3 linked regions of the Arabidopsis thaliana genome follow. The protein of the gene in region 1 interacts with the protein of each later gene in a pairwise test. Each region holds a gene or a part of one and is shown on either strand. Other genes may lie near its edges.

Region 1 (8,488 bases):
TGTTTTCCATCTTTCAGGTATCAAGAGAAGAAGCTCAAGATACAGTTAATCTCTGGTATAATGACAGACAAGAAGTCCGGAAATGGCAAGAACTACGCAAGAAAGAAGCTATACAAAAAGGGTATGTACTCACTTTGTTGGGAAGGGCTCGTAAATTCCCTGAATACCGTTCACGTGCCCAAAAGAACCATATCGAGCGAGCAGCAATCAACACTCCTGTTCAGGTTTGTTTGCACTATCATCAGATCTTAACCATCTTGAACTCTATCGACTTTAAACCTCAATCACCACTATTAATACAGGGAAGTGCGGCTGATGTTGCTATGTGCGCTATGCTGGAGATATCAAATAATCAACGGCTAAAAGAGCTTGGTTGGAAATTGCTTCTACAAGTAATACTTCTCACAGATTCTTTACATAACTACAGGTTAGATGATTGTTTATCTAAATGATTTCTTTTGGGCTACCTACAGGTTCATGATGAAGTAATCTTGGAAGGACCAAGTGAGTCAGCGGAGAACGCTAAAGACATAGTTGTGAACTGCATGTCTGAACCCTTCAACGGCAAGAATATTCTCTCAGTCGACTTATCTGTTGATGCTAAGTGTGCTCAGAACTGGTATGCTGGCAAATAAGAGGAAAATAGAAAAAGATCTTGCTAGTGAAAGCTAACAATGAGGCAGTGCTTGAGGTTTTTTTTTTTTTTGTCTCATTGGCTCTGAGAAAATCTGTTCATATGTGAGAAAGGGTCATTTTGTTTATGCTAATGAAAGCTAATTGTTGTCATCTTCTTTATGTTAAAAGATACATTGCTGTGTAAATTAGTAGGCTTGAAGAGTCGGTGTTTTTAATGAGAAAACAGAGTAATCTTATCAAAGAAAAGTGAACGAGTAGATGATAATAATTACAATCTCGCAAGAAGCTTCGAGGCAGTATCATGGCTTCCATTTCACCATGCATAGCTCTTCTGCGAGTTTATTCTCCTCTACCACCAAACTCAACAACACTTCTTCTACCCCACTTAGCCTCTCCTCTCGGTTTCTTGGAACTAGGGTTGTGAATCTCGGGATCAGACTTATCCGACTCGGACCCTCCAATAGGTCAGAGCCACTGCCTCGTTTAAGTTCGGAAAGAACGGCGTCGATGCTGAGAATGCTGGAATCTATGGCAGCCAGTCACGTGATGATTTTGACAGAGACGACGTCGAACAGGTTCGTGTTCACTTCAAGCTTCTAGAGTCAAATATGTCAATCTTTGTTTTGTTACAAGGGCGCTTATAAAAGCTTCCGTACGTGGTTGTGTCTGAGTTTGTGAATGAAGAAAACAGAGGAAATGTTAGATTTATTATTGTCGTTTCTGTGTTATTTGCAGTATTTTAACTACATGGGGATACTTGCGGTGGAAGGTACCTAAGATAAGATGCACCATGTCGACATCCTTTTAATGCTAGCAGTCTCGGAGGGAGACAAGCCTAAAATTGAAGAGCTTCTCAAACGCTGACTACACGGTTAAGGATGCTGACGGCAGAACCACTCTTGACTGAGCAAGCAGGGAGGAGATCCGTGACTTGATCCTTGAATCCCTCACTAAAGGCTTGACAAATAAGTAGTTTTCAATCGCAGAGTTAGCTTTATCTTACTAAGAAAGTGATGTCCGTTTTGGTAACTCTAGTTGAAATCTCAGTCGTCTCCATGTTTCTACGTTAAGTTAGGTCGAAACCCTCAGGGAGCGACAATTTTAAAGTAGAGATTGATCTTATACAGTTATACCAAAAGTTAACCTTTTTCTCTTACCAATCGTTCATCATCATTTATTATATAACAAGCAAGCAAAAGATTTCTAAATGATGTCTGAGATTATCACCAGCACGGTAGAAAGCATACATGAAGCAGCTCAAACATCTCTAAAAACCCTGAGAAACGCAACTATCTAATCTTGTGATTTACTCGTTTCTGCTTGACTCTGATTTCATTCACTCGGCAGAATTCTCGTGCAACAGTACGTACTCTCGGCTGCAACCAAAAGAACAAAACATGTCAAGAACAGAAGAAAGTAGATGTTAACTGCACAGCAAGCAAAGATTAATCACAGAGAATAGGCACGGGGTATGATTCATAATGGGAAACCAGAACTAGAATGTGTCTTCATTAGAATACCTGCTGTTGCCAAACTTTATGGTGTCTTTCTCAAAAAGCTCATAATATCTTTGTGGCTCAATGGGACTTTCCTGAAAAAGTAAAAGAAGTTCTAATCACAAACGTTTGAATTAACCATGATAAAGAAGCACATAAGAAGGAATGTAATTGAGCACTTACATTGATATAAGTTTTGTTGGTACTACCAAGATCCATTATGTAAGGCCTGGAAAGTGACATTAAGGGAAATTAAAATTTAGCTTAAAGCCAGAAGAGGTACAAATTTTAAGCAAAATGAAAGAGCAGATAGGTTTTACTTCACTTGCTTCCCCATCATACCATCTGGTTTCTCCTTTTCCATTTCCCTGAGAAAAGCACATTCACAGTGACATAAATATTAAACTAAAAACCTTATTCTCATTAAATCTATTGTCATAGATATTACTACTTAAAAGGAGAAATACATGTCAGAACCCTACCGGTACTGAATGACAGCATGCTGCTTGCTGCAAGATGGGTGATCCGTAGGAATGTCGGCAATCCTTCTTTCACGTCCAAAGAGGTAGCAGCTTTGGCGGTGAAGGCAGAGTGGCTCTGTTAGTCCAACACATTTCACATGCACAGAAACATACATCAAGAAAACTGATTCAGGGCATTCAGAATTATTAAGCAAACAGAAATGGGAAACAAAATGTAAAATCTTATATACAATGTTCAGGGGTTCAAAGTAAGAATGACACGGGAAGCCACAGTCACAAACATATCAGATCAAAGGAGCTATTTTTCCTCTAAGAGTCATTAACATTCATAATAAGATTCATTCTAAGAAAATTGACAAGTTCTAAGAAGTATCAAGCTATAGTTTGGCTACTATCGGTAATCACGCTGTTATCTGGACACTAAACCATCAATGACCACAGTTTTCAAGTTTACATGGCTAGAGTGCATCAAAATTTCTTGAGTATCTCTTTCATTGCCACTACATGCTTTACTGCATATTTTGTGGACAAAAAATTGACGTTCACCACAGTAAGATAGTTAAGTGAAATACATAGAAGACAAATGAACCACTACTTAGACAGATGGATAGAGATGTGGAAGACGTCAAAGACTCACCATTCAGTGGTTCACCATCCTTAAAAACATACAGTCTCCATCGTTCGCTGGGTTTTCTAGCCTCTGGGGGCTCATTGAAGAGGAGTGTGATACCTGCAAAGGATTCACTCAGTCAAGGAAGCTAAGCATGCCTATGGTGAAATTTAATGCGAGAAACCACCGTCTCCATTCCTAGGAGCAAAAGCGGATTGGCAGTCAAAAGATATCTGCTGATAGCAGATGCTTATATATTGAAGCTTCTAGTCTCATTAGATATTGACCAAAGAAAGCTTTTACCCAGTGACAGACACGTACGCATACAAAATTAAGTAAATATGACCTGACAACAAAGGCAGATGTTTCGCAGTTCAAACATGCAATGAAAACACTATGGCAAAAGTTTCTAGCACAAGGTAATGGTAACAGGTGATATTCTTAAATGAAATGGACGGATCAGAAGTTTCACCTCTGTATCTGTTAGTTTCTTCAGCAAGTTTCCCTGATAGCTCAAATGATGGTTCTTCCTACAAGATATATCAAAATTAGATTTGAAGCGTTAGCATTTATGCATGGATGAGCTAAGCGAGCTCAAAATGACATTGGAAATTGAAAATCAATAGGGCTTGATATAATACCTTTTTCTTCGCTGCCAGAGCCTCTTCAACTGCTCTCATTCTCGCGACTGAATCTTCCTCGACATTTCTGTTAACGAAAACCCATAACATGGTTAAAAGAAAGACTGAAAAATTGTAACGGCTAATCTAATAAGAAGAAAACTCACGGCTCCTCGCTGCCCCCTCTTGCATTAGACCCCTGAAAAGACAAAAGGCGATAAAAATGACTGAAGAAGTAACAAAAATCTGTGGCTCGCAGAAAATGATAATTTGCAGAAAGCAACCATAATCTATATAATGAGCTTTTACTAAAAAGAGAGAAACATGAGAAGTGATGTTACTGGACATGCTGAAGGGAAACAAAGAGACTATCTTTCTTAAGTCCTTTAGCAACAGAGTAAGCAAAAAATGGCTGGCTGCAGGTTCTAGTTATAGACTCACGAGATGGATAAGCTAGATTACAGGATTCCAATTATTTATTATGTGACGAAACAAGCAGCAGAGGCTAACCTTTTCTAGCATACATCAGAGCTAAACAATTTCAATCACATTTATCTTTTCAAGCAGAATACGAATATGCACAAGTAAAACCCAAAACAAAAAAAAAAACACTTCTGAGATTAAGAACATATCCAAGCTAAAGAAAGAAGCAGAAATACCTCATCATGCCTTGAGGCAATAGCTCTTTCAGGTGAACGCCTACTACTCCTGTGACTCCTATCTGACGGTGAAGTAGACCTCTCATGTCTTCCTCTAGAGTATCTCTCATCATCTGTTCTTGTCCTTCTCCTTTTTTCAGTATCCTCTCTCCCTGATCGTCTTCTCTTATCCCCAACTTCCCTATCTCTTTCTCCTTCTCCTTTTCTCTCCCTATCCCTATCTCTTCCTATATCTCTATCCCTTTCCCTACTGTTTCTCTTCTCCCTTTCTCTACCATCATCTTCTCTCTCTCTACTTCTCCCAATTTCCTTCTCTCCTCGAGCTCTTCTCAGTCTCTTCGTACGTGGTGAAGGAGACCTAGAACTAGGAGCCATTATTGGAGTCAGGGTCGTTTTCTCTCTTCTTTGCCTTTGGAAAGATCACAAATTGAAACCAGGGTCAGAAGGAAAAGGCATGTGAGCTCCAGATAACACAGTAAACCCTAATTCCCAAATGCATAGAAACTAGAAATGGAGCAAAAGCCCTAAACCAAAAAACGTAAGCTACAGATTTCAAATACTAAATTCAGAAGTTCCGGGCATAGTCTAGGGTTGCAAGAATCGTTAAGAGAAAAAATCGCTGCATAACGAGAAAGAAAAATTTTACCTGGTGGCCGGAACTGTGACTACTTCGGCGGAGAGAAGAGGAGAGAGTGAATAATAATAATCGCAGAGATAAAAAGAATCAGAGCCAAAACGAGAAGAATCATTTATTTGGCCTCTTTTGCAAATAAATGGAAACTGAGGGGTTCAATATCAAACAAATTGTAGACGGTATGGTAAAACTTCCATTAGTTGACACGTGTCATATCTTGTTTGGTAGAAAGGATATGTATAATTAGGGCAGAAGCCGCTTGTAACGTCGTACCCTTGTACTTCCTTCGAGATTTTTGTTTCTTCGTCCTAGTTTGCAACAAAGATTTTATAATTGATCATCAAACAAATCGGTGAGCCTGTAACAAATCGAGTGCACCAGCTTTACCACCAACTTTGATAGGATAGAAGACAAATACAAGATCATAGATATAGTTGAGGTGGATAGCTAAACGACATAAACCATCAGAAGTGACAGTGATCTTGTTCTGATTGTAACAGAGTGCACCAGGTTTACCACCAACTTTGATCCTCTCATGAAGGAACTTGTGGAGAGAAATTTTCAACTTCGAGGAACATATGTCCTGAAATCCCATCTGTAGTTCTCCTTACTACCGATTTGTAGTCGCAACTGTTGGCCTTGAAGCTTATGTGGAAGACAGCATTCATAGACTCGAGCTTTAGAGACGGGTCAGTATGAGTTTCTCGGGTGATGCTTTGGTTTGTCGGGTGATGGCTCATCGAATCCCAAATCATGTCTCCTTGTTTATTTGATGTATCTTTAGTTTCATGTATATACTAGTGTACGCCAATATTATAGACGATTAAAAACTAATTCTTGTTTACGTATGAACAAAACGATATGTACTTTGTCATTATTATATTTTTTGTCAAAGATTGAGAATATTTATTTTTTTCGCATCATAGACACACAAACAAATGTTGTCTAATGATCTACCAGCCGGCTTGTATATCTAATTCAAATATCGGTCATGCATCATGCACTTCATTAGTATCTTATGTTTTGCAAAATACTGGCTAGACTGTCACATATATCAGAATCGGTCACCGTCACCTTCTTCGTTATTGTCATACGGTTTCACTATGACAAAGTCCAAATTAGGTCAAATTTTAAGCGAACATACGTAGCCTCTTACGTCATAGATTGCTGATGAAAAAGAGGCAAATTATTATAACAACCATCAAAGATTCGGTACTAACTTTACAAATTCACACAATTCGTATCTCACAATCTAAAAGTGCAATATGTCGTACATGTTTTGTAAGCTAGACAATAGTAAAATAATTATCCTGCCGGACTATAAAGGTTCGAGAACGTGGACCGACTATATTTATATATCAATTAGCTATTTGTGGTGTTAGCCTAATGTTGCCTTCATCACGTTTTCTGTTTTTTTGTTGAAGGATTTTCAAATAGATGAATTGACTATCATCACCTTGTCACGTTATAAACCATATATATTATCGTTAAACACTTAGTAGCAGTTCCCCACGAATTACATGTCTCCATCATTGACAAATTTATATTTTTGTTTGTAAGAACACTTTTTCCTTCCTCAACAAATTCTTGTACTTAATACAGATATATACTTATAAATGTTACATCAAACGCTAGATAACGGAGAATATAAGCTAAAATGAAATTAATATATCTTGTTTCAGCTTCTATCGAAATTATTTTCATTAATGGACAATATAAAATTTGATCCTTATCTACTGTTTCTGTGAATTTGTGATTATCATCAGGCAAATGTATCATTAGGCAAATGTTTTTATCTAAATTAACACTTTTATTGGAAAACTACCAAAATACATTTAGGTTCACCCATCAAAAGTACTTTATGTTGTTATGTTATATATTGTGTGCTAACTAAAAAGATTACAATTTAGCAAATCTCAAGTTGATGTGTACATTTATAATCTCCACTACAACAAGAAGGTGATCCACTTCTCTTGTATATCTTTATTTGTTCTTGCACGTACATAAAGAAATCAAACTGTTCAACTGCCATTTAGAATATTAAAACCAACAAAATAATATTATAACAAGTAAATACTTAAACAATAATAAGAACAAAGGGCCAAAATCGTGCCAAACCTACAACATTCCTGACCTCTGCCTCCCCCACTATATAGAGGTCACATTTGAGAGAATTAGGCAAATAAAAATCTAAGAACCATTTTAATAGCTTCTCACATCTCTCTATTATAATATCAAACTACTCTTCACCAGCCCTCTTAATTATCTAAGAAAGTCTCAATGGAAAACTCAGCACTAAGCAACTGTGTGAGGCGAACAAATTTCTCTAATCAACAGAGAACTATGCAAGAGGGTCTAGAAGAGAGTAGTTGGACAATGTACTTTGAAACAGAAGATGGATTAGGCCATTACGATGATTCTTCAATGATGTCAGACGCTGCTTCTCCTATGGGTTGTGTCGAAGAAGACACCGCTTCATCTCCTTCTAACAGAACCGAGGTTAGTCCAAGAATAAGACAATATATCTTACTATGTTCATGATACATACATTGATACACACATTACACATACATATATAGGTTAGTCTAAATGGCTATGCTTGTCTCTTCAGGGTTACAGTGGAATGGAAGACAATACGATAGAAGAAAAAACCATGAACAATGGTAAGATTGAGGTAAGAAACTTCATGTTTTCTAATATATCTTTTCATAAATGAAAGTTATTTTGGCGGCTAACAAAAATATTCATACGGGATTTGTAGGAGAAAATATTGAATAAAAATGGGATAAAGATTGAAGAATACTGCGCAGAATTGAAGAAGAGAGGACTTTGCTTAGTCCCTTTGTCGATGTTATCTAACTATATTGGTTGAAACTTTGATTACTCTTTCAATCATATACATATTCTTTATTGTGATTATATATCTTCCTTTCTCTGATTATTTTCTGTAAATTATAGAATGGACTAGTAAATGTAGTGAAAGTCAAATCAAGGGTTGCATCATGTATCGCATGTATGTATGTGTAATGGGTGTATCAATGTATGTATCATGTTTCCATGTGTGTAACAGTGTTAACATGTTTCCATGTGTGTAACAGTGTTAACATGTTTCCATGTGTGTAACAGTGTTAACATGTTTCCATGTGTGTAACAGTGTTTTGGTACAATCAAGTACATATGTATTTTGGAACGCCTTTGTAATCCAATGATTGAATGATCCGGATTTAGAACACTTCATTAGAATTACCAACAACCTTTAGCCAAGTGGGTGTGTCACTCCTCGTGGTCTGATCTCTTGTCCTTGGAAGTTTTTTTTCTTTTTCTCTTTAGAGTTTGGATATACTTCTATAG
Region 2 (6,232 bases), on another chromosome or scaffold:
CTATATTTTACTATGTGAACGTCCAATTTATCAAGTGAATATATATTCCACCGCATCAAAAAGTTATCAATTATTTGGTATATAGCTTCGTGAAAATATCAAACCAAATCACTTATTTTAAGAAAAGCACAAAAAGGATTAAGGATAATAGAAGAACAGTGTCCTAACTTAAAGCTTCAGAGTCCATATTATCACTCCATATTTAGGGACACATATTTCAACTTTTTACACTCCACCATAGTTAGGTATGTGAGCCTAACAAAGTTCTCAATCCACAAAGGAACTTCCTCGATCCCTGTTTGGTTTAGACAGAGACATGAGATGTTGCTTGAGATATCTGGAAAACTCTTCAACTTTGAACATCCACTAAGATCAATTCAGATATTTGAAGTTAGCACCAGTGGGAAGAGACTCTACATTTTTCCTTTTCATCAATTCTAAAAGTCTTCACCTTTTACCAAAACTTCTGAACACTAAAAGGACAGAGGAGACTCTCAAAGTTTTATTGAGCTCTCATATCCTTAAACCGGAAAGAACCACATAATCTTCACTACTAATAGAATCAGGAGATAAAGGCCAAGAGGAGAGTGAAGGAGTCATCACAAGACAAACAATAAATAGCAGTCTGAATATAATTTAATTGTGAAGCTTGCAAACATTATTAGTGTCCAAAAAACAGCACTTGTTTTCATGTTTACTGAAATAGTAATGCTTATGTTGTTCCGTTTAAAGAACATGTGATGATCGCACAGAGAAGAGAGAATCACTGAAATAGTGTTGAAAAAAGAGAATGTTACATACCTATGATGAGAAAAGACAAAGACAAAGCGCACTGTGGAGGAATCAGAACTTAGCCTGCATTGTAAACCGCATGATCAAGACTAGTTACCGGTACACAGTGTTCCTGACTTCTTCAACGTTGTCCTTATCTGTCAACATTTCACATTTATGTTCATGTACTTGTTAAAAGACCCTAATAAGCTACCTACTTGATGTTGCTACTATAGAGTGAAGCAATTTGGTGTATACCTCCTGCATCAATCATGATACAATAGTGACATTGGAAACCTCTATGGAAAGAGAAAGTGCATGTGCTGCTAAATACTATCCAACTAACCATAAACAAGTTGGAGATAATTCAGCTTATTATAACATATAACTGGTGTTTCACTACGGAACACATGTGCTTAGTTCTACTTATACAACTAACACACACAGAATGCTTATGCAGCCCACATAGAGCTACTTCTTACCTCTCTCTCTTTCTCACTGTAAAATAAAAATGAAGGAATTAAAAATATAGAATAAACATAGTTTTAAACTAATTTGGAAATACATTTGTCTAACATTAAAATAATTTATACCAATAAGTTTATACTTAGTTACTTGCTAAATCAAATAAAGTGATGATTAGTGATTACATATGCCTATGATTACAAACAAGTGTAACTATGATTTATGCTTCGAACCCAATCATTTTGAGACGTTAGAAAGGGGTAATTTGGGGTCTTCAAACTTCCTTCTTGAATTTGTCTATTTTATACTCAAGTCCTCGGATGGGCTGTTCTGAAATCACTATAGTTGCATGTGTGCAATAACCCGGCCCATAAAAATTAATGCCAATTGTATTATTCCATTAGCCCATTAAGTCATCAATCATTACCACTAAATCTGCTATAAGATTAGCTTCTCTACCTCTAAAGTCTAACCAAAAAGAAAGTCGAAGATATCTTCATCGTTTGCATGTAATCTCCTTTACATGACCATGAAGTCCTTCTACCCATTATGTTTTGGGATTGCATTAATTAAGAACAGAATAGCACTCTCCCCAAAAGAATTCTTTGGAGCCGCAATTATTTAAGCAAAACATTGTCCGTGGATGATTCTTTACGAACGGGCCGTGATAGTTGTGCCAAGGAACATCTCTGTGGGAGAATTCAAAGCTAGTAGGATTCAAGCTCAAATGGACTTATTAAGCTAGGTAGAAATAATAGAAAGATTGAAATGAAATCGCTTATAAAAACTTTATTATGATGCAATTAATAGAAAAGAAAAAAGACTTTAACTTGTCAACAAGAATACAATGATTCAAAATTGATATTTTTATAAGGGGTTTGTGCAAAAAAAAATCATAATTAAGTCGCTAATTTTTTCAACTTTACCATTAATCTCTACAAAATACATAATAATCCTATAAAATACAAAATAAGACGCAATATAGCCCTATACATATATTGTAAATGTTTCTATGATCACATACATTTGCTTTTTAAAATTGTGAAAGTAGAGTTGGACTCCTCGTCTCGAAGATTTTAATTTGATATATTATTTATCAAAATTTTAAAAATTTAACTATAACAAAAAAATGAAGCTATATTGCATATTATTTTTGATTTCATACAATTATTTTGCATTTTTTTAGAGATAGATGATAAATTTGTAAAAATTGACGTCTTTGAAAGTTATTTTTGCACAAAATTCCTTTTATAAAGAAAAAGAAAAAAATTTGTTTTGAGACAACTCTTAAGATTACCTTACAATACATTGATATTTAAAAACAAATTTATATGAATCTCTAGTAGCTATCACCCTAGTTACATTGGCTAATGGATTTCTCATAATAGTTTTGGATCCTCTAATAATCTCTAGTTTTGGATCCTCTAATAATCTCTAGTATATGAAGGACGGAATTTCGATCATTGCTCTCAACTTGTTCATCAAAATCTAGCAAAATTGACATTTTCCGTCGAATATCACCCATATAAACTTAACCATAGTGGAAACCTAAAAATTCACCCCCAACTTTTACAAGAAAGTGATCTTTCTCATTCCTTCATTTGAAAGGTTTGACCTTAACGTTTTTGTTGTAGTCGAAGGAGTATCTTTCACAACATTGCTGATCTTAGAACAAATGTAACCCATTATTACCATAAGACTTATTTTTTCTTTTTCAGTTTTGACTTGTGCCTTTATGTTTAAGACACTAGTAGCCACATTTATTACGCTTTTTCACCGCAAAATTTAACACGCACTCTCTTTGTCGATCCCACAAACTCCATCTACCTAACCATGGTTAAAAATCATCAAACCTTGGTTCCCTTGATTAAAATATCCCTAAATCCAAGTCTCTTTATTATTTCATTTAAAATCATAAATTTAGTTTAATACAATTGTCCTTTTTCAAAATATTATTTCTTTATTTGCTTCAGCAACAGTCGTCATAGTCATCATATCATTTTCTTCTTTTCCTCCTCTAAACGAATATTACCAATAAAAAATCAAGTGGAAAATATGTAATATTAAAAAATCTCCAACAGCTTAAGAAGTTAGAACCTTTTTACTTATCTTTATTTCTTCTTCTTCTTCATTTTTCTATTCACATTCTCTGAAACTCATACCATATTTTCAAAGCTCTTAACCCAAAAACCCTAAGTCTTTTTTTTCTTCAAATTATTGGTTATATTAATGTTTTAAGCTATGATGGATATGACTCCTACAATAACAACAACAACAACACCAACTCCTAAATCACCCGAACCCGAATCCGAAACTCCGACCCGGATCCAACCGGCGAAACCCATTTCCTTTAGCAACGGCATCATCAAACGCCACCACCACCACCACCATCCTCTCCTCTTTACTTACAAAGAATGTCTCAAAAACCACGCGGCGGCTTTAGGTGGTCACGCTCTCGACGGTTGCGGCGAATTCATGCCGTCTCCGTCGTCAATCTCCTCCGATCCAACTTCTCTCAAATGTGCTGCTTGTGGCTGCCACCGTAATTTCCACCGCCGTGATCCAGATAACAACAACGACTCTTCCCAAATCCCTCCTCCTCCTTCCACCGCCGTAGAGTATCAACCTCACCACCGTCATCATCCACCACCACCACCACCTCCTCCACCACCACGTAGTCCTAACTCAGCTTCTCCTCCACCAATCTCTTCCTCTTACATGCTCTTATCTCTCTCCGGTACTAATAACAACAACAACAACTTAGCTTCTTTCTCCGATCTTAACTTCTCCGCCGGAAACAACCACCACCACCACCACCAACATACTCTTCACGGATCTCGTAAAAGATTCCGAACAAAATTCAGCCAGTTTCAGAAAGAGAAGATGCATGAATTCGCCGAACGTGTTGGTTGGAAGATGCAAAAACGTGACGAAGACGATGTTCGTGATTTTTGCCGGCAGATCGGAGTTGATAAAAGTGTTCTCAAAGTTTGGATGCATAACAACAAAAACACCTTTAACCGCCGTGATATCGCCGGAAACGAGATCCGGCAAATCGATAACGGCGGAGGAAACCACACTCCGATTCTCGCCGGCGAGATTAATAACCATAACAATGGACACCACGGTGTCGGAGGAGGAGGAGAGCTTCACCAGAGTGTTAGTAGCGGCGGTGGTGGCGGAGGATTTGATAGTGATAGCGGCGGAGCTAACGGTGGTAACGTTAACGGATCATCGTCGTCGTGAAGTTAAAGATGAGAGTGTCAGGTTAATAAGAAGCTTAGAGTAAGCTTATTCGTATTATCATCGTTAATAACTTTCTATTAAATATTAATTAAGATCTTTAGCTTTGTTTGTTTTTGCATTATTATTAGTTTTGATTTAATGTTCTTTACCACGTCGGTGTCTCGCTCGATGAGGAATAATACCATAACAATGTTCGAATTATATCATTTGTTGTAAACATTTCTATTAATGAACCCTGAAATGTGACTAAGTACTCCAATAAATGGTACACTTTTGATGTGGTAATCTTGTTTCGGATGAAGAAACAAAAAGATTAATAAACGAGTGAAACATGATTAGTTACTATAAATATTCATTTGGTTTCTTATCTTTTAAAGTACTCTTCTTAATTTTATTTGCAACCAAACTAGATGTAGTAGGTGTACTTTTTTTCTTTCTTAGATCCTCTTAATTTTATTTTATTTTTTTATTCTATATCAAATGATTAGCCATCATTAGTATATTAGTAGCATTGTTGTTAACACCCAGTGTTTTCACGTCCGACCCGGACCGTCCGGTCCGACCGGTTGAACCGTGACCCGAACACTTTTCCGGTTTGGGTTTAGTATTAAAATCCAACAAGTTCAAAACCGAAAAAACCCACAAAAACTCATCATTAACCCGTGACCCGATGAACCAGTTGAACTGGCCGGATGTGGGTTTTAAAAAATTCTCTTGATTTTGGAATAAAATATGAGATTTTAGACTTTATTCAATCAATTTTTAGATATTTTTCAGTTCTTAAACCCATTTGATGTTTAAGATTTTGATGAAGACTTCACAATGCCGCCTTAAAAAATGAATCGAATGGTGAGTGAGATATCCGATATTAGTTGTGTGAATTCACGATGTTTTATTAGTTTATTTCCATCATTGCTGATTTTTTACTATATTTGTTACGGTATTAGACATTTAGTTGGATTTAAAAAATTTCATCACTTTATTATTATTGTTTGATTATATATTTATATTTTTTTTTGATGTAAATGATTATTTTTGTTTTAAAATTTATAAGAACTCTAAAAACTCTAAAATCTCTATTAATATTAAATTTATTAAATAAATTTTAATCAATTGACCCGTAGTCTAATCTAATTAACCCGATGATCCAATGATCCAAAAGGTAGTCCGATTCACTGGGTTGGTTTTAAAAATATTGTTAACACCATTTCCTCTTTAATCTATGTCATTGTCATGGATTCATTCCGATAACCCATTTTTGGTATATATGCTTAGTTTTGATTATTCTCATTTGAGAAGTACAAACCAGCATATACCTTTTTATACTTAGAGATTGAATTAGTACAATTCATACTAAAGTTTGATATAACTATTATTATATCACATCGTAGCATCCATAAAATCTATACAACTTCTAAATAAGGGTTTAAGGCGTGGCACTAACACAAATGATTGAGTTGATGAATAATTTAACAATAACTTTCCATTTGGGGAAACGTAGGGATGAGTACTGATATGTCGGCTCTCACAATAAAGAATGAGATTAGGATATTATGGGTATCTCCCATACGGGTTTGTTACAATTATTTAAGCAATTCATTACTACTATTTCTTTATTTAATTTATATAACGCATTTAGTCAAGTCACAAATATCTTTCCGTATTATCTTGGTGGGGACAAAACTTTTGCACAAGCTGAGGTTATGGCCCTAACTGCCATATACCATGTGCACCACTTGTTAATTAATAG
Region 3 (7,902 bases), on another chromosome or scaffold:
AAATTATAAACCCATTTTCAAAATCTGATCTTTTTTTTTTCGTTGACAAATCTAGTTATGCCTCCTCCGGCAATGCTTGCGTTTGACGATGGTTTAGCCCGGAAATCTAACGATAATGAGTGGCAAGGTTTCAGAGTTTTTCCAGGAGAAAATACTAACCCTAACCCTAATATAAATTTCTTGGTTAAGAAGGCAATTCTGCAGAACGAGAAATCAATCACTCCTCTTTTCTCCCGTTCGTCGGCAAGAGATGATAGCTTCAGAATTGTGTTGCCGCCGGCGTTGCCTCCTCCTAGAGACTCCACCGTTCCGCTTCCTATGCTTCCGGAGCCGATGAGAGTCCGGAAGAAGCTTAGCCACCAAGAATCAGTCATATTTATGAGCAAATCGCGTTTCGCAGAGAAAATCCTCTACAAGGAAGAAGATTTCAAATGTAACGCCTTCTGCTTGTCTCTACCTGGCTTCGGAAAGAACAAGCTGATTAGATCTTCTTCGAAACGCCAAAATTCTATGGAGAAGAAGATGATCAGAGCTTCTTCCTTCACGGGATCAACTGTTTCTGTACGCGCCTCGCTAGAGAAATTCGAATGCGGTTCTTGGGCATCGACGACAGCTCTTATTCAAGATAACGGTCGGTTGTTTTTCGATTTTCCGGTTGAGATGACGAAGTGCAACAGCCGCGGTGGAAATGGAGGAAGAGATGTGCAAGAACCGGTGACCTCTGGTTTCTTATTCGATAGAGAAACAGAGACTTTGGCTCTGAGAAGCGTTTTAAAGACGAGGAGTACTCGTGATCACCGGAGATCAGCTGAGTCTTCACCGCAACGTCGTGTTAGGTTCTCGACTTCGTCTTCATCGGCTTCAGTTTCGTGCCCTACTTCGCCTCGAACTTGTATCACTCCACGTTTGCGTAAGGCTAGAGATGACTTCAACACCTTCTTGACCGCACAAAACGCTTGAATAAGGAAAACAAAAACAGAACACAGAGTTTTATTTATAATATGTATGTATGAAATGAGTGTAATGTATCTACGGATGATGTGTAAATATTATGGAGAGAAAGAGAGTGTTGAGTCTTTGAGAAATCAAAATCGATAAAGGGTTTATGATTCTAAAACAACTCAAAAAGTATAATTTTTAGTGTTTGCTTAGAAGCTCTATCTCCAATTTTTGAGGGTTTGTTTGGCTTTGTTGAATCTTTATGAAATAAATTTGACCAAGAGTAGATGATTATGAGAGTATTTTATAATCTATGTGCTTCACTTTTGCATCGAAGATCTGTTTTCAGACTTTAATCTACAATTTTTAGAGTGTACTCAATGAGGTATCAAAATCAATGAAATGATGGTTACTAGAGTAATTGCAAAAATTCATGTATGTTTCCAAGCTCTGTTTGTGACTTGCCTTTTCAGGTTTTAAGGTTTATTTTTAGGCTATTTTCCGTTAATTTTTTTGGTTGGTTTAGGAGATCAAAAACTTCATAAAACTGGACAAAGTGTTGGTAACATAACCTAAAAACTGTATAAAGAGAGCATAATACGATATTCAGACCCAAAACGCCAAATAACGCAAACTCGATAAGGAAAAGAGGGTTTAATGGGTTAGTGAATTCTTCAGCGTTTTCAAAACGGTTGATTTCAGTTTCTTGTATCGTAGATGACACGAACAACGTCAACAATCTGAGCTCTGCAAATCGGACATTTCCCTCCACTCCAATGTAGTTCGTTGGCACATTTTAGGCACATGCACATATGTCCACACCTGTACAAAACCGCCTCGACCTGTGTTTCGTCGCAGACGCAGCATTTTCGTTTCATTGGGTTTTCTTGGTGAGCCTTGTGTTGCAAGCTCGCGTTAGCATCTAAACACGTTTTGACAGAATCTCGTAGTACTGACATTTCTTGCTGAAGCTGTTGGATCTGTGATCTCATACCGCTTATCAGCTCCATTTCCTGAAAACGTTTATATGCGGCTCAATGAGTTTACCACTAGTGCGGTTGCGAGTTTCTATAGTATAACAAGAAATCGATAAACACTCACAGGTGACTGAGGATTCTGAACAACCAAGGCAGGAGTGGAAGTAACATCAGTGTCTTGAGAACTCCATGATCCTGCAGGAGACGATGCAGATATATGTGAAGACGACGATTGGCTCAAGTCATCTCTATCATCTTGCTCTTCACCTCCTCTTAATGGCTCTTCTTTGATTTCTTCATCAATTTCAAAATTTACTTCCTCCTCTTCTTCTTGTTGCAATTCCCATTTTTTGGAGTGCTTATCCGAGTGTGTCTGTACACGGGACATCATGAGATTATCGATCTTCTCTCGCAACCCGCTGTCGAGGAAATCTGTCACCGTTCTTCTGTATTAAGCAGGGAAATTCATTTTCTTAGTCAGTTATTAACCATTAAGAAACATGAGCTTGTCAATTTTGATGGTTACTTACCGCTCAAGGAGTCTGCATATGTCATCTTTCTCAGACCTAGTGTTCATTACTTCCAGGTACCGTGACTTCCTCAATTCCTCCCAGTAACTCCGAGGCCTAGCTATTTCACTAAGCCAGTCGTCGTTATATTCTCCATAATAAGACTGCTCATCTGCATACTCTTCTTGTTCTCCCCATCTATTCAAATAGGATGTTTCTTGTTGATCAAGGCACTGGTCCATCTCATTACTCTCATGAACTAGACCTTCTGTTTCTCGAGTTTCTTGCATATACTTTCCCACATTGTTCTCGTCTTGATTCTGTCTCAACCGCGATTCTCGAGATAAATATTCACTCGGGCTAGTATTTTCTTCTTCTTTCTTTTCAGACTTGCCATCGTTGCAAGTTTCTTCTACTTCTCTTGTTTCTTGCAGCTGAAGGCAATTCTTTTGTGAATCAACTGTTCCACTTACAGATTCTTCTTCCTTACATAACGTTGCTTCCTCTATCTTGCGGTTACGGGGTCTCAACCGCTCTGCGAAAAAAGCTTCGAGAGTAACACCACCATCCTTTAACCTCGTGCTTGTGGTAGTAGTTCCTTCTGTTTCTTCTACGGATTTGTTGTTCATCTCAGTGGATCGTTGATGATTCTTCCTCTTATCTGTTGCAGCCGCAGAGTTTACTACGTTCGCATGAAATTTCTCCCTGCGTTGCCAATCAAAGATTGAAAATCTGAAGAAAGTAAACCCTAAGAACTAAACTCAAAACATAAAACAGAGAATCTGAAAAAACCTTAAATGCAGAACAGCAGAGCCTGATTCAATTCGGTTTAATCCGGTTGTTTTTGCGTTAGACCGGTTTCTATCTTGAATCACAAGACAGCGATTGAGGTTCCTTAACCTTAGCATTGACTGGTTAAATAATGTAATTAGAAAAACCATTTAGTGGATTATGAATAAAGTCACAAATATGTTAGTTATTTTTATCAAAATAGTGAAAATATAATTTACCTGGAGACGACCACGTTGAGTAAACCTAGAAACTGCGTTGCGTTCAAAAAGCGAATCCAATTCACGGTGGCGATCACGTTCCATTTGCATAAGAAAATCGGTAAACGCTTGTCGTCCTCGTATCTTCGGAGAGAAACTAACCACCGGAAAATTACTTTTCTCCGATGACGACGAAGTGCAATAAGGCCTCGGCGTTCTGATAATCTCGAGTCCACCGCCACCGCCGCTGCCATTATCTCCAGCGGTTCGTTTCTTGTCTTCGTTGCTAAGCCTCCGAATTAGGTCAGCGACTCGTCCCCATTTACTTTCTCCGGAATCAGAAACCAAACCATGTGACCTAGATTCAATCTCCACCGTTCGATCAGCAATTTCAGAATCTCCATCGATTGATGAAGATTCTGAAAGACCGGAATCTTGAACACTAACTCCTGAATCGCTCCGACTACTACTACTCGCCGTAGATTGACTGCTACTCGGCGAGTTTCCACCGTTGGATCGGTTTAGCCTCGCCTCCCATATCTGAACCAAAGAAGAAGCCACAAGATTGTCGTTTCTCTTCGATTCTAACGGAGATTCAAGAACACGATTGTTCTTGTTATTGTGAGTTTCGATCCAAGAATCAACTAAATTCTCATCGGAGACATGAGATTTCAAAACCTCTTTCACCGGAGATTTCAGATTCTTTTGAAAAACGCCAGCGTTTTGGTTACGATCTCTTAAGATTAAACCGAATCTCTGAGGAGAAGACACCATTTTTTTACGATCTAAGAATCGAACAAACGAACATAAAATCAAATAATCATTAGAGTTTTTGAATCGATCGAAAGAAGTTAGAGGACAACTCTGTTTTCTCTGTCTCTCTACAAGAAGAAGAGAAAATGGATTTGTGTTAGTGAAGAGACAGATTTTTCTCTCTGTTTTTTTTTCCTGTTAAAGAAACAGAACAACAACAAACAAACGGTGGAGATACGATGATGATGAAGAAGCAAAACAGAACCAAACAGTATTTGTGCTTATCTATTTAGTAAGAGGACTTATAAATGTTAAGAGTCCTAAAATGGCTCTGTTTTGTCCCTTAAACTGGGGAACGTGTCTGTAAAACAAGGCAATAAAGAATGAGGTGTAAGAATACAGAGAAAGAAAAGCCTTATGTGGCCAAAAGTGATAAATTGTTATAGAAAAATAAAAAAGCTACTTATAATTTTGGACAAAATTGAATTTGAAAGATATTGTATAACACATGTCATTATACTGGTAAAAGCATTTAATTGTGTAATGCATGAAAAAATTAACATTGGATTGTTATACTAATTAAAGGGTGATTAAATTATTTAATAATTAAGGCTCCTAAATATGCTAGAGTCAAAAAGGAGCCGTTGAGGAATTTAGCCGTTGTCGAGTGGGAACCATGCACTTTCTGGATTTTATGCCACATCATAAATCAAATTGAAGAACTAAAGATAACAAACAATTTTAAATTGTATAACTGACAGGAACAAAAACTTTTAAGCAAAGTAAAAATAATTTAATTAGAGAAAATTAGATGTTCAACCCAAGTTTCATGTAGTGTGCGATTTTATTGTAGTGTGGTCAATAGGCCCAGGCATAGTGGTCAATGTCGTGCTTGGGTTAGTCGAATAGAGAGAGAACTTAGGACGAGTTGTGATTTGTGACTCTTATAAAACGATTTAAGAAAAAATAGTCTCTATACAAAATAACGATAATTGAAACCAATAATAAGGTTCACAACCGATCATTTTCGGATCCCGATGAGTTAACGATTAGTCAACGATAGAGTAAAACGACCGATTAATCGAGACTTAGTGTCTATGATATTGGCACATACGACATATATTTCGTATATATATTTCAGGTAACTGGGTATCGTTTATATTAGTTGCGGCATATGTGATAATGTATTCTTCCACACTTCGTATAGCTAGCTGACAATCTTTTTTCTTAAAGTTTAAGTATTAGGAAGTATTATCCGGTAGATAAAGAAGATGGACGATTGAAAAAGCGATTGATACGATTTTTCTTCTGTGATTTTTCCGACCGGCCGGCGTTGGTTCCGACTTCGATTGTACTCTTTTCTCCTTTATAATTCTAGCAAATATTAGTTTACATACATATATTTCAGTTATTAACAATGAGTTCTAGAGAATCAACTGCTTTTGGTTGGCCTCTTTTCACACTGTTGGCGATTTTCATGACCCAAAAATTGAGTTTTCTACAATTATTTGTAAGAAATATAAATTATAAAAACTAGAAAAATATATGAAAAAGTTTAAGGTTTTGACTAGTGAGAATTTGTTGTATAGTTCAAAAAAACTCAAAATTTGAACGTTTGAAAACTTGTTGAGATGCATCAATTTTCAATAAACGTAGCCTATGGTGAATTGTTTTTTTTTTTTTGTCAACATGTCTCTAATGGACCTATTTTTCCGTGCTAAAAAATGTGCAGAGGTAATATCGCTATTTTTGTTAGAGGATCTGAGCAAATTCATTATTAATGATTGTGCAAAAAATTTGTTAATTTCGATATATCACATTTTGCTTTACGGATTACTCGAAAACATACTTTGATGTCATCATCCAGTGTATATATACGTATGTTAATTGTAGACAACAAAATAAAATAATAATAGTCTCACATAACCGACCAAAAAACAAACAAAATTAAATCAATGGAAGTTGTTGACAAATAAATTTTACAATTAATCTAATCCAAATAAGTCAAAACCCTGATTTCAGTAATGTAAAGATCATTATATCATTTTTTCTCTTGTAAAAAGGTTTTTTAAAATTATACTATTAATATATATCATTTGATCAAAAAAAAATTATATATCATAAACATTATATACGACATGCAGGCAAGTCACTCGAATATTCAAATCTTAAAGTTGTGCCTCCCACGTAAAAGCATCACATTAGTTTCCAAACCCAATTGTATATATAAATTACTACACAACACACCTCTCATCAAACAAATTCATCAAAGCCAATCAAATTGAGAGAGATATCAAGAAAGCAAAATAATGAAGTTGGCCGTGGTCTCAGTCGTTGTCATACTCGGAGTTCTCGTGGCTTGGCCGGTATCGGCTGGCCGAAAAGACTTACCTGGAGCGGGAGGATACGGAGGCGATGACGATGATGATACAAAGTCATTGTTCCCTTTGGACAACCTATTATCGTTGAATTATTATGATAGGATTTGTCCAGATTTTGAGAAAATCGTTGTTACGAAAGTGAGGGAATGGACTAAGAGTGACTCTTCCCTTGGTCCCGCCCTCCTCCGCCTTATCTTCCACGATTGTGGCGTCACGGTATTGCAATTAATCGTTCAATTATATATAGCCAATGTTTTGATTCATATATGATTTACATTGTTCTAAAAATGGGTTTCACTATTACTCTATTAGAGATTAGAATTGTTCTTCCGTCTATCTAGACCATACTTGGAACATTGATAGTATATAGATATAAGTTTCTTAATATTGAAGACGGACTTGCGCACTTTATTCTGTGTATAAACGCATCTGAGTGTTTTGCGCATATCTAATATAGTTATGCATTTTAAAAGATAACAACTTGACATTTTTGTACATGAATTAACACAACTTTCAGGGATGTGATGCGTCTGTTCTTCTAGACTACGAAGGGACAGAGAGAAGATCTCCGGCTAGCAAAACACTAAGAGGCTTCGAGCTAATTGACGATATCAAGTCCGAGATGGAGAAATCATGCCCCGGCAAAGTATCCTGCGCCGACATCCTAACATCAGCCAGCCGTGCCGCCACCGTCCAACTTGGTGGTCCTTACTGGCCCAACGTCTACGGTCGTCGTGACTCCAAACACTCTTACGCTAGAGACGTAGAGAAAGTCCCTTCAGGCCGTCGTGATGTTACCGCCCTTCTCGAAACGTTTCAGTCATACGGTCTCAACGTCCTCGACCTAGTTGTCCTTTCCGGGGCCCACACCATCGGAAAAGCGTCCTGTGGCACCATCCAGTCGAGGCTTTACAACTACAACGCAACCAGTGGTTCAGATCCTTCGATTGACGCAAAATACGCTGATTACTTGCAACGCAGGTGTCGCTGGGCCTCTGAGACCGTCGATCTCGACCCTGTAACTCCAGCAGTGTTCGATAATCAGTACTACATTAATCTTCAGAAGCATATGGGAGTTTTGTCGACTGATCAGGAGCTTGTTAAGGACCCAAGGACTGCTCCGCTTGTAAAGACTTTCGCAGAGCAATCACCTCAGATATTCAGACAGCAGTTTGCTGTGTCCATGGCTAAGCTGGTCAACGTTGGAGTTCTCACTGGTGAAGATCGTGTCGGAGAGATCAGGAAGGTTTGCAGCAAATCTAACTCCAGAGCTTACTAAATTATAATCATCATCCCTCATGAGAAGGATCTTTTGTTTCTTGAAATAATTTCTTGTTTGGTTTTTGAGCTCTTT

Evidence for each region. Proteins that work in one complex are often made in the same cells at the same time.
Region 2: the proteins of DDL (region 1) and HB23 interact in a two-hybrid assay, tested with the Arabidopsis thaliana proteins (one large-scale study listed by BioGRID).
Region 3: the proteins of DDL (region 1) and AT1G30860 interact in a two-hybrid assay, tested with the Arabidopsis thaliana proteins (one large-scale study listed by BioGRID).

Annotation. Positions count from the first base shown.
Region 1 is NC_003074.8:7,172,723-7,181,210, forward strand, and holds DDL (SMAD/FHA domain-containing protein), read right to left. Parts: upstream 5,299-8,488; 5' UTR 5,150-5,298; intron 4,913-5,149; 5' UTR 4,879-4,912; coding exon 4,504-4,878; intron 4,044-4,503; coding exon 4,012-4,043; intron 3,933-4,011; coding exon 3,866-3,932; intron 3,755-3,865; coding exon 3,697-3,754; intron 3,345-3,696; coding exon 3,252-3,344; intron 2,730-3,251; coding exon 2,615-2,729; intron 2,501-2,614; coding exon 2,453-2,500; intron 2,362-2,452; coding exon 2,316-2,361; intron 2,228-2,315; coding exon 2,157-2,227; intron 2,013-2,156; coding exon 1,973-2,012; 3' UTR 1,714-1,972; downstream 1-1,713. Other genes in the region: POLGAMMA1 (polymerase gamma 1), read left to right, coding at 18-224, 303-392, 474-635; AT3G20555 (uncharacterized protein), read right to left, coding at 5,478-5,669, 5,752-5,892; AT3G20557 (uncharacterized protein), read left to right, coding at 7,418-7,636, 7,749-7,811, 7,899-8,009. UniProt on the Arabidopsis thaliana protein: Involved in the microRNA (miRNA) and short interfering RNA (siRNA) biogenesis. May facilitate DCL1 to access or recognize primary miRNAs. Binds RNA non-specifically.
Region 2 is NC_003076.8:15,908,066-15,914,297, forward strand, and holds HB23 (homeobox protein 23), read left to right. Parts: upstream 1-3,284; 5' UTR 3,285-3,477; coding exon 3,478-4,482; 3' UTR 4,483-4,795; downstream 4,796-6,232. UniProt on the Arabidopsis thaliana protein: Putative transcription factor. Probably involved in establishing polarity during leaf development through the gibberellic acid (GA) signaling pathway.
Region 3 is NC_003070.9:10,985,059-10,992,960, forward strand, and holds AT1G30860 (RING/U-box superfamily protein), read right to left. Parts: upstream 4,536-7,902; 5' UTR 4,189-4,535; coding exon 3,436-4,188; intron 3,337-3,435; coding exon 3,218-3,336; intron 3,131-3,217; coding exon 2,447-3,130; intron 2,363-2,446; coding exon 2,041-2,362; intron 1,953-2,040; coding exon 1,638-1,952; 3' UTR 1,438-1,637; downstream 1-1,437. Other genes in the region: RSH4 (root hair specific 4), read left to right, coding at 58-960; AT1G30870 (Peroxidase superfamily protein), read left to right, coding at 6,477-6,764, 7,066-7,827.